Linked DNA regions of Coturnix japonica. The main gene of each other region encodes a partner of the protein of the gene in region 2 in a complex. Links are inferred from orthologs where the notes say so. Each region holds a gene or a part of one and is shown on either strand. Other genes may lie near its edges. The genes, in order: UNC119, GNAT1 and PDE6G.

Region 1 (3,743 bases), on a different chromosome or scaffold from region 2:
ACTGAGCTCTGCCCTGCTCCCTTTGCTAATCCCCAGTTAATCGCGTCACAAGGTTTTCCTCTTTTTGTAACCACAGTTGGATGAGCAAGTAACAAATCCTGCTAATTGCAAAGGAAACGGGCCTTTTGCTTTACACCTAAACCCAGCCCTACAAAAGACCCACATGCACCAGGGCAGCACCCCTGGGTCCATCAGGTTTGACCTTAGCATCATGTAGGATGTGACACTGGAAGGACACGGCACAGATACGCAGCACTGCTTGCACGCTCCCCCTTTAAGCTTATTAAAAAGACATCAGGAGGAGAGCCATGAGCAGTAGAATGGGTTCAATAGTGAGAGCTGCTGCGGTATTGGCCTCGAAGTTTGGATAAAAATGAGTTATCTGGAACTGGGAGGGATGTTTGTGGCACTGCTGCAATTCCCAACCATCAGCTCCTGTGTCAGCTTCACGTGGGCTGGAGCACCTGGATCTGGGCATCAAAACAGGGGTCAGAGGGATACAAAGGGCTGTGGTCATAAGTTGGGATGACTTGGTGGTACAGGCACTAAGGTTTGCAATGGGAAGAGTTCATTCAAGTAGTTTTAAGAGGAGAGCTTTACTAAGAAGGGAAAAGTGGAAGAGTGGGAGAAGTTTTAACCCCGTGTCTCTCCATCCAACAACCTCTGATGGTCCTTTTAGTGCATCCCAACACATATCACCACTGTAACACCCTATAAAAGCCATACATGACCATGATACCACAAAGTCCTTGCCAGCTCCTCTTATTCTCCTGATGTTAAAAGGAGGAATTACGTGCTGATCTTTCTCATGGTCCAAGGAGCATTGCATTCCCCATGCCCTCTACCCCATATATCCTCCCTCCAAATTCCAGCCAGGCAAAGGCTCCACCCCAGACACTGCCCTAACTACGGGCACCAAGGCTGCATGCTGTACACACCAAGCTGCGAGGAGAAAGAATGAGGAAGGAGTTGTATCTGGGCTTCCATACAAACCTACAGGGACCTATACACCAGAGATAGGATGGCACACAGGTCCCTTTGGATCACAACTTCACACCTCCACCGTAAGCTTGAGCAGAAGCAGAGTAAGACACTGCCTGAGTGCAAGAAGAGGCAGGAGAGCAGCTCTGCTGCCCATGGGGCGATCAGCTCAGCCTTCCTGCACACAAGAGCAAATAGCAGCAACAAGGCCAGGATGCCCAGAGTTGAATCCACATGAGGTCTGCGTGCCCCATGAGCAAGGGCAGGGGGTGGCCACGTGCCTGCAGCCCCCCAAAGAGGGCACAGCTGCATGCAGGGCCACGTGGGCTCCCAAGAAGCAAAGCACTGAGCGCAGCCATCGCTGGGACTCACCATCCAACTGCTGCTCTTCCAAGCGCGCTGGCAGCACGCTCCAGTGCCTGCTGCTCTGATTGCTGGGCCTGGGCAGTGAGTCACAGCCCAGCATCTCAGCAGGGAAACAGAGACACAACAGACCCCCCAGACCAGCACTATCTGCAGGGCTTCCTCCCCTCCTTCCTTTCACCCATCCCTGTGCTGCTCAGCCCCCAATACCCACAACCGCATCCCTTCTTTCTGGGGCTTCTCATGGCACAGCCCTGCCTGCAGCATCGCTCCTGCTCCAAGCACAGCCACCCATCATTGCCCCCTCCTCCCCTGCAGAGACACAACACACACGGGGGTATAGAAAGGCTCTTTGGGGGGTGGATAGGAGGACACTACCACAGCCAGGTTGGCCTGGAGCATGTGCCATCTCCCAGCCCAGCACGCTGCAATCCCAGCAGAGCACAACAGCCCCTCCAGCCCCACAGGATGCTCTCAAGACCGCAGCAATACTATAGGGGTGGAAAAGGGGAAACCTATTGGGAAGGCTGCAGGATGGTTACAACACTCCTCCCATTGGATCTGTGACCCCATCCCGAACCCCTCCATCCCTCTCTTCCCCCCGCAGCTGTGGGGTTCAGCCTGGCCCACCCATAGGACGGGCACAATGAGCAGCATCCCACGTCCAGCCCGGCTTGCAGTGGGGGTCCCACTCCGCAATGGAAGCACCCCCTCCCCAAGCTGGGTGTCCCATCCCACCCAAATTGCCGCCCCATCCCTCACCCGACATCACCGCGGTGCCCCCCCCCGGCCCCGTACCGCTGGTGACCCGCTGCAGCCCCAGCACGTCGTCGGGCCCGATAAGCGCTTTCCGTCCCAGCTCCTCCTCGGTCCGCGCTGCCGCCCCCCCGGCCCCGCCGCTCTTCTTCACCTTCATGGCCCCTCCGCCTCCTCCTCCTCCTCCTCTACCTCCGCTATGAGCGGCCCCGCTCAGCGCTGCCGGCCCCGCCGCACCGGGAGGGGCAGCGCCGCCCCCTGCACGGCCCGCCCCCCGCACGGTACAGCCCAGCGCCGCCGGCAGCACCGCCCGGCATCGCTCCCAAAGCCCCTCATCGCATCCCGACAGCATCGGGATGAACGTGCTTGTTTCCCCCGTACGACCCCAAAAGGGCTCCCCCAATACGAGAGCTCCCCTGTTAATGTGCCAAAGGGAAAAGCTCGACCCCAGTAATGTGTCTCTAAACCAACGCTCACAGACCCCATTCATAACTGCCCACCAACAGCTGAACCCCACCAACCCCCTTCCCCACCCCCACTTGGTGCTATATGGGCTACGTACCTTTAAGACGGGACTCAGTCCAAAGCAAGAGGTGGCCAAAGCCCAGAGAGTGGGAGAGATTCACACAGCCCCCACAGCACAACAGGGCAGGATTGGGCAGGGCAGCTCTTTATTTACACATGAACACAGCACGGGGCTGTGGGGTGCATGCAGGTCACCCTCCCTCCCCTCAAGTCTCAATAAAGAGGGGGGTAAAGCAGCAGTTCTGAGTGGAGGGTGCAAGACTCTGTGAGCACCTGCCTGCACCGTGATGCAATGCACTCTATGAGGTCCCAGCCCCAAGGCAAGGCACCGTATATGGGCTCAGTCCATCTTGGTGGGCTCCTTCTTGCTCTGCCTGGCTTCTCGGAGCATCTTACCCAGGGAGAGGAGGATTGGGACAGCCATGGGCAGGAAAAGAGGGATATAGATGGCAAATTTCTGATCATCCGGGAAGTAAAGAAGATGGAGAAGAGAAGGGTCAAAGAACGCCCGCTCCGAGCAGGTGACAGCTTCCTTGCTGGCCTGGAAAGCTGAATGCAGGCGGCCTTCAGCCAGCTCTGCCACGGCATCCTGCACTGCAGCCACCGCTCGGTATACCTGCATGGGAACAGCACAGCAGTCAGTCCTCAACCAGGAAGCACCAGAGAAGCAAAGCTAAGGGGCCTCGTTCCTGGGCAGTGCCCCACTGCTCTGCATGGGGCCAGCAGCTCCTGACCCCTCCACTCCCCACATCAGGCTGTACCAGTCGTACCTCGGAGGCGACGTCGTCTTTGATGACGATGTTACTGATCTGGTCCAGCAGCTGCGCCAGTGAGGTCAAGGTGGTGGACACAGTGGCAATATTCTCCAATGTATGGGCCCAAAGCAGGCGGTCCAGCTCCCAATCGGCCACTCCTTCATTCCCTGGGCTCTCCACCAGGAATTCAGGGGGCAGCTCCTCCCGAGAGATCCCAAATAATAACCTGGGAACAGATGGGAAGGTCCCAGCCTGCAGCAGGATGCACAGTGCACAACAGTGCTGTAGGTTGGTGGTCAGCACAAAAAGTCACCCTCAATCTCCCACAGTCCACAGAGGGGCCGAGCTGGTGGGCTCCAACAT
Region 2 (3,743 bases):
AGACGAACTTGACGTTCTCGGTATCAGTGGCGCAGGTCATGTGCCAGTAGATCTCCTTCACGTCCCGCCGCATGTTCAGCTCCAGGAACTGCAGCTTGATGTAGTTGCCAGCATCATCATAGGTGTTGGGACCTACAAGCAGGGCCATGGGTCCCCAGCACCCTGCAACCCTTATATTCCCCTGCCATCACCCCACAGCCCAGACCTTCAGCTGGGTGCTGAGGGTGCTGGGTTCACCTGATGAGTGTCTGGCAAGGGGTGCCAGCACCCAAACCCCCCATGCAGGGTGTGAGCGTGCCTGCCCTCACCGTCATAGTCAGGGAAGCAGATGCTGAGGTGCGCCTTCTTGATCTTCTCCTCGAAGAGGTCCTTCTTGTTGAGGAAGAGGACGATAGAAGTGGTGGCGAAGCACCTGTGGTTGCAGATGCTGTTGAAGAGGTGCAGGCTTTCGTGCATGCGGTTCTGTGGGAGGACACAAGCCCTGTCAGCCCCCTGTCAGCCCCCCAGCCCACCCAGCACCCCTTGGCACGGCCACCTACCACTTCATCATCCTCCACCAGCACCATGTCGTAGGCACTCAGTGCCCCGCAGAAGATGATGCACGTCACCCCCTCAAAGCAGTGGATCCACTTCTTGCGCTCTGATCGCTGCCCCCCGACATCGAACATCCTGCAGGGCAGGACCAGGGGGCTCAGCATCCCCCTAATACCCCTCACCCCAGCACTTGGGGGCTCAGCCCCTACCTGAAGTTGAGGTCCTTGAAAGAGAACTGGGTTTCGATGATGCCGGTGGTTTTGACACGGGAGCGCAGCACGTCCTGCTCAGTGGGGACGTAGCCAGGGGTCACCAGGCGCTCCAGGTCCGACAGGTAGCTGATGGGCACAGTGTGAGGCACGTCCCACCAAGGGTGCCCCCAGCCACCTGCCCACCCTGCACCTACTATCCTGCCGAGTCATTGAGCTGGTACTCAGAGGCCCGGTCAAAGCAGGCCTGGATGCCTGCATCCTTCCAGAGCCGCCCAATGATGTCCGACATCTCCTTGGGCATGGTGCCCTCCTCAATGGTGTCTGAGAGGTGCAGCAGCTTGCGGGCATCATCCTGCAAGGGATGGGGGCTCAGTGGGGATGGGGAAGGGGTACAACTCCACACCCCATGCTGGGAGCCCCTTACCTGGCGGGCTGAGTCGCCATACTGGATGTTGAGCGTGGTCATGGCACGCACGATGGCCAGCATGGACTGCAGCGTGTTGCTGTAGATGATGGCGATGAACTCCAAGCACTCCTCCAGTGAGTAACCATCCTGGTGGATGATCCTGGACAAGATGGGGGCATGGGGCTGAGTGGGGTGCTGAGGGCACCCATGGAGCTGAGCTATAGGGTAGGGGCAATTGTGGGCACTGAACTGGTGCGTAGGGGTACCCATGTGGGTGGATAATAGGGTGGTGGCAGCCATAGGGCTGAACCATAAGGTAGGGGCACCCTTGGGTCTGAACTATAGGATGAGAGAACTCATGGGGGTCAACTAAAGGGTGGGGACACTCATGGGGCTAGAAAATAAGGCAGAGGTGCCCATCGCTGCAGTTGAGGGCGTTGAGGGGTGGATGCTCCCTCTGGCTGTAATATGGGGCAGGTAGGTGGCACGGTGCTGCCTGTGTGACTTACTTCATCTGCTTGACGATGGTACTCTTCCCTGACTCTCCTGCTCCTGTGGGGACAGAGTGGGGGCACAGTGGTGACCACCAAAGGGGGACACAGGGAAACAGGGAGGGAGAGAGCCAGGTCTGGGGGGGGCACTGGGGTGGTGCTGCTGGGGGCTCAGTCAAGGGTGTGCTGGGGGAGCTGGGGGTGGGGGGAAGAAGAGGATGGGGTAGGGATGGGGACACAGCAGTGGGGCATTGCAGGGGAACGTAGCCAGGGCCCGGACATGGGGATGAATGAGAGAACAACTGGGGAAACTGGGGGGCATTGGGAGGGGGACACAGTGCTGGGAGGATGCGAGGGTAGCGTTCAGGGGCATGTGGAGGGGTCTGGGGATGCTGGGGTGGAGTTGGGGTGCTCAGAGGCACGGGGGTATTGGATGGGGTGAGCTTCAGGGGTAATGAGGAGTCTGGGACTAACAGGGTTTGGAGCACGAGGATGTCACGGGGGAGGTTCAGGCATCCCCCGGAGCTGTGCCCACCTACCCAGCAGCAGCAGCTTGACGGTCCTGGCATCCTTCTCAGCGTCCTCCTTCAGCTTCTTCTCCAGCTCACGGGAGTGCTTCTCCTCGGCGCTGGCCCCTGCGCCCATCCTCGCCTCCGCCGCCCGCCGGCTCGCCCGCTCGGTGGAGGTCAGCACCAGGACGGGCAGTGAGCGCCAGCCCCCCGCCGCCTCCAGCGCTCGCCCACCGCCCGACTGCGGCCGCCGCTGCCACCCAAGTGGGCCAAGGACGGGGACAAGGAGCGCGGCTTAAGGCAGAGTGCGGATAAAGCCCCGAAATCTGCCCGGGGCTGAGCTCAGCAATCCCCCGGCTCCCGGCGTCAGCGCTTCTGCGGAGAGGGCGCCCAGCTGTCCCCTCCCAGAGATGGTGGCCCAATGTCCCCAGGCCGTGGCTATGCCCCGTGGCAGGGATGTCCCTGCTGGCCCCAGCCATGGGTATGGCCTTATAGTGGGGATGTTGTACCCACTGCTGTACCCAGATGTACCCGCTGTTCCCAGCCATGGGTATGGCCCCGCTCCAGGGATGTCCCTGCTGTTGTTCTCAGGCCGTGGGTATGGCCCTGTGAACCATCCCAGTCGTACTCTCAAGAATCCCTGCCTGATGTCATTGTACCCCTAGTGTCATCCCCACCCCCACGTCCTGAGCCCTTTCCAAGACCCTCATAATGTCCCCAGCTCCTCTCAGTGCCCTTTGCCCCAGCCCCCAGGTATCCTTATGCCTCACCACACAACACCAAGGACACCCCACGTCCCGCCCCCTGCCAGTGTGTCCCCATTGCCAGCGAAGTACCCCCGTGTTCCGAGGAACAGCCCTCTGTGTCCCAGCCCCGTCCCCACCAGTGCAGCCCCCTGTCCCCCAGCCCCAGCATCTTACACCTCCCCAGTGTCCCCCCAACCCTCCTCCGCGGGGCTCCTGCAGTTCCGAGTCTGACCGCCAGAGGGCAGAGCGACCCAGCATAGAGCAGCACAGCCCAGTACAGCCCAGTACAACCCAGTACAGCCCAGTACAGCCCAGTACAGCCCGTCAGAACCCAGTACAGCCCGTAGCTACGCCCGTCACAAGACCCAGTACGCCCAGTACATGCCCGCGCCACAGGGGCCAGTACAGCTGGGGGTTTTCATTTACAGCCAGTTACAAACCAGTACAGCCCAGCACAGCCCAGTACAGCCCAGTACAGCCCAGCACAGCCTGGTACAGTCCAGCAGAGACAAGCACAGACTTGTACCACCCCCCCTTCCCCACCAGGGCTACCAGTGCTGCCTCCGGTACCCCAAGTGCTGCCCTAGTCTGGCCAAGAGCCGCCCATGCCTGACCCCAGTGCCCCCAGCAGTGACTGCAGTGTCCCCAGTGGTAACTCAGAGTTCCCCCATAGTGCCCCCAGTGGCCTCCAGCTTCATGTCCCCCTGCCCAGCGTCCCCTCCATCACCCTGCAGCGTTCCCAGCACCCCACCATGTGCTCCCCTGGATCCCACCCCCAGAACTCGGTGATGTTCCTGTCCCCAACAGAGCACACGCAGGCATCTGTCCCAAAGCCAGTGTTTATT
Region 3 (3,713 bases), on a different chromosome or scaffold from region 2:
CCCACCGCCCACCACCTGCTGCATGAGCGGCTGCCACAACTGCGTCTGGATCGAGTACGTGGAGCAGCTGCTGCAGCACTATGGGGACGGTGGGGAGCGGGCACTGCAGGCCGTGGAGCAGCATGTGCAGGATGAGAACATCAAAGCGATCCTGAAGCTGGAGATCAGGCTGCGCATGAGGACAGAATGAGCCCAAAAAGTGGTGAGGAACTTTCCTGCTGAGCTCCAGGAGTCTCCATGGGACAAGAGGATTGGAACACGGTGTATCTGTGTGGTTTGGGATGTTGGTTTGTGAGATGGGGATTTTAGTTACGGTGTTTGTTTGCATCAGACTGGAGGGATTCACCAAGCACATACACCCCACGTGTTGCCCCAGCACTGACGATGCAGGAGTGGTGTCATCACTCGGTGCTTCTATCCCCAGCACTGAAAATCCCTGCTACGTGCAGGATCCTTCCCACTGCCCCTTGGGTTTGCAGCATGACAGCAGCCTTGTGACAGAGATGGGCTGTGGTGTCACACCGTCCTCCCCACGCTACATTAAGCCTCTTAGGGGCTTCTCTCTGACTGTTGTCCAGAGGGGCAGGGGCTTTTCCCAGCCCCTTTCCGATGCTGTAGGATTTGTTTGGTTCAGGGGAGAGCGTGCAGCCAGAGCACGTGGGCCCTGCAATGTCCCATCAAGGGCAACTCCTCACTGTGCTGCTGCTTCCTCGCTCATCTCTGCTTTAAAACTCCTTAAACTTCACCTTGAGGCGTCACCTCACCAAATCCTGCCCAGCTGAGCACAGCCTCAGCCTGATGACACACACTGTCCCTGCAGAACCTCACCCCATCCTGCCGGGATGAGCTCAGGCAATGCACTGAATGTCACCAAAAGTGGCTTCTGAGTGGTGTTTGCTAATGAAGCTCAGTCTGGAAGTATTAATTAACAACAGGCCTTTGCTGTAGAAGAGGCCAGTTCTGCCAGCTTCGTATGAAACACCTCTGGATCCGTGTAATCCTATTTGCTGAAATCTAACTAATTGCCATTAGTGGAAGGGCCTGGAGTTCAATTAAAGTGTGCTGAGATTATACCTTTTTGTAATTGCTTTAGTGCTGGGATTACGGGAGGCTTTGGAGTGATACTCCCAAGCAGCAGGGCAGGGTGGGAAGGGGCTGCCTGGCCCCACTTCCACCATGTTTTGGGCTGATGAAGCAGAGTCTGCAGTGCTCTCATATTGTCTATACTCAGGTGTCCTCAGTGACGCCTGAGATGAGCTGGTGACCTTCATGTTTAGCAATCCCCATTGGAATAGAGACAGGGATGGTGTGGGGATGCTGTGCTTGGTGTCGGCACTGTTATGGAGTGCTGCCCTGACCATGCTGTGGTCCCATTCCTGTCCCCATGGTGCAATGGCTCAAGTCATAGGGGTGTCCCTCCTAGGGGGGATGTAGGACATCCCCATGGATGCTCTGCAGCTGTTCCCTGCCCAAGACCATGTTCTGTGGGGTGAGACAGCATTGCTAACACGCAGCCCATCCCCGTGGCATTAATCCTGACACCCCCTCCCCATGCACGCACACACTCCCACCCTCCTCCCCACCATTCCTGTGGGGAAGGACACTAGATTACCCATTTGAGAAGAAGGGACTTAATCCTATTATCCCCGAAGAGGATAAATCTGCCAGCCCCCAGCTGCCACACAGAGCACCCAGAGGACGTGTGGAGCAGGCTGGAGGGACTCATTTGGAGCAGCACCGGCCTTGGGCACGGTAAGTGATGGCTTTGGTATGTGAGAGACACCACCCAGACCTGTAGGCACTGGGGCTGCAGTGCATGGCATTGCTCAGCTGGAGCCCACGCTCAGCTCCTGCACTTGCAGGTGAGGCTCCGTGCTGAATGCCACCAAGCTGGCAGTGGGAGCTGCCTGTATTACAAAGCCCCAGTGCTTGGCAGGTTGTAGGGTGCCTGTGGGAGGGATGGAGCCATGTGCTGCCCTGGGACTTCGGGATCAGCTGCAGCCCCTCCAGACTGCAGCACACAGAGCCCTGTGAGCCATCCCTGAGCATCACGCAGCTACAGCTGGAGCAGCTTTCAGCTCACACGGCTGCACTGCCCCCAACTCACAGTGGCACTTACAATGCCCATCTCCACAGGGATGAATTGTGGTGGGGGTACCTGGTGGTGCACATCCACCTGCAGAGGGAGGGAAGGGCTGCAGGTATTGCCCCAAAGAGTGCAGGGGCTCACTGTGCCCCTCTGGATGCCCTTTGCTGCCTTTGGGGTAAGGGGATTAGTGGGGTCTGAGCTGGCCTAATTCTAAGGAGGGGAAGGAGAATGCTCACCCCCAGGGCAGCCCGGAAAGCGGATCAGCCCTGCAGGGCTCATGGCAGGGTGGGAACAAGGGCACTGAGATGGCTGCAGCCACACCAAGGTTCACCCCATTGCTCCATGTCCTTGTGCCAGGTGTGAGGAACCACCCCGTGCCAGTACCAGAACCACAGGGACAGCCGTGCCGCAGGGTGGGCTGTTAGCCCTGCTACAGCCATGAGCTTGGAGCCCCACAAACCAGAGCTCAAATCAGCCACCAGAGTGACCGGGGGACCTGCCACCCCCCGGAAAGGACCACCTAAGTTCAAGCAGAGGCAGACGCGGCAATTCAAGAGCAAGCCACCCAAAAAGGGGGTGCAGGGGTGAGTAGGGCTGAGCACCGGGGCCCAGTGTGGGACACACCTGAAGGCACCCATGTGGTGCTGCTCAAGGCTGATGCATAGCAAGGACAGACACCTGGTTTCTTTGCAGGTTTGGCGATGACATCCCAGGCATGGAGGGGCTAGGAACAGGTATGTGGTCCCCATTCCTTTATGGTGCAGCTGCAGGGCTTGCAGCAGTGCTGAGACTTGTGCTGATGCAGCCTCTGCTCTCCACAGATATCACGGTGATTTGCCCATGGGAAGCTTTCAGCCATCTGGAACTGCACGAGCTGGCCCAGTTTGGCATTATCTAGGCTGGCTACAGCCACCACCACCACCTGCCCTATAGCAGTGCTTTCTTAGAAACTGCCCTATCCATGTAGCAGGGCATAGCCTGGAGAAACAGTCATTAAAACCTGAAATAAACACAGGAGTCTGGTGTTATGGTCTGGGGCTGGAAAGCTACAAGGGTGGGCAACCACACCAGAGAGGACAGGATGGAGAAGAGGTAGAGCAGACCCAAGTAGAGTTCAGAGATTTATTATGGGATGCACATGTACAACAAAGGACGGGAAGGAGAGCACGAGGAACACTCAGCATCCTCTCCATCCCCACAGCACACCCTCAGCCCCGTGCCCCACCAGGCGCAATGTCTGCCAGCACTTTCAGTGCCAGGAGCAGCCCGGTGGCCTCCAGCAGCACCAGCACAGCCGCCCCGATGGCAATGCCTCCAGCCTGCGCACGCAGCCAGGCACCCAGCTGAACCACACAGCCCCCCAGGTGCACCACGCCAGCAGCCTCCATGTCTCCCAGTTGCAGCACCCCAAAGGCACATTGGTCGTTAGCGATGGAGCCGTTCTGCCGTGGATCCAGGCAGCAGGAGGCCGGGACGCTGCACGCCTGCACACCGGGCGCACTGCAGTTGAAATACCTGCAGGACATAGAAGAAGATCTGGGTGCCTGCTGCTTTCTTACTAACCCTCTCCATGCCCCCACGTGCCCCCAGCCCCACTCACGGGTTGCTCTCCCAGTCGCGGTAG

What was found.
Region 1: the proteins of GNAT1 (region 2) and UNC119 are in contact, whole or in part, in a crystal structure (PDB 3RBQ), measured with the Homo sapiens proteins. The link is inferred for Coturnix japonica from reciprocal best matches to the Homo sapiens genes GNAT1 and UNC119. Residues at the interface, in NP_000163.2 of Homo sapiens: Gly2, Ala3, Gly4, Ala5, Ser6, Ala7, Glu8; in NP_005139.1 of Homo sapiens: Asp87, Phe88, Val89, Arg90, Phe91, Ile105, Lys106, Lys107, Gly126, Arg127, Phe128, Val129, Tyr131, Phe137, Val147, Glu163, Leu172, Ser218, Tyr220, Asn230.
Region 3: the proteins of GNAT1 (region 2) and PDE6G are in contact, whole or in part, in a cryo-EM structure (PDB 7JSN), measured with the Bos taurus proteins. The link is inferred for Coturnix japonica from reciprocal best matches to the Homo sapiens genes GNAT1 and PDE6G. Residues at the interface, in NP_851365.1 of Bos taurus: Ser140, Arg201, Arg204, Lys205, Trp207, Ile208, Phe211, Asp227, Val229, Glu235, Val236, Asn237, His240, Glu241, His244, Leu245, Ser248, Ile249, Ile281, Phe283, Glu305, Leu306, Met308; in NP_776846.1 of Bos taurus: Arg36, Gln37, Phe38, Lys39, Ser40, Lys41, Pro42, Pro43, Lys45, Leu60, Val66, Ile67, Cys68, Pro69, Trp70, Glu71, Phe73, Asn74, His75, Leu76, Glu77, Leu78.

Annotation. Positions count from the first base shown.
Region 1 is NC_029534.1:4,518,550-4,522,292, forward strand, and holds the start of UNC119 (protein unc-119 homolog A), read right to left. Parts: upstream 2,317-3,743; 5' UTR 2,261-2,316; coding exon 2,143-2,260; intron 1-2,142. UniProt on the Homo sapiens protein: Involved in synaptic functions in photoreceptor cells, the signal transduction in immune cells as a Src family kinase activator, endosome recycling, the uptake of bacteria and endocytosis, protein trafficking in sensory neurons and as lipid-binding chaperone with specificity for a diverse subset of myristoylated proteins.
Region 2 is NC_029527.1:2,003,521-2,007,263, reverse strand, and holds the start of GNAT1 (guanine nucleotide-binding protein G(t) subunit alpha-1), read right to left. Parts: upstream 2,627-3,743; 5' UTR 2,289-2,626; coding exon 2,183-2,288; intron 1,705-2,182; coding exon 1,662-1,704; intron 1,313-1,661; coding exon 1,171-1,312; intron 1,099-1,170; coding exon 941-1,098; intron 873-940; coding exon 744-872; intron 670-743; coding exon 540-669; intron 463-539; coding exon 309-462; intron 133-308; coding exon 1-132. UniProt on the Homo sapiens protein: Functions as a signal transducer for the rod photoreceptor RHO. Required for normal RHO-mediated light perception by the retina.
Region 3 is NC_029533.1:5,208,632-5,212,344, reverse strand, and holds PDE6G (retinal rod rhodopsin-sensitive cGMP 3',5'-cyclic phosphodiesterase subunit gamma), read left to right. Parts: upstream 1-1,201; 5' UTR 1,202-1,752; intron 1,753-2,446; 5' UTR 2,447-2,527; coding exon 2,528-2,673; intron 2,674-2,782; coding exon 2,783-2,987; 3' UTR 2,988-3,169; downstream 3,170-3,713. Other genes in the region: OXLD1 (oxidoreductase-like domain-containing protein 1), read left to right, coding at 1-190; TSPAN10 (tetraspanin-10), read right to left, coding at 3,298-3,604, 3,690-3,713.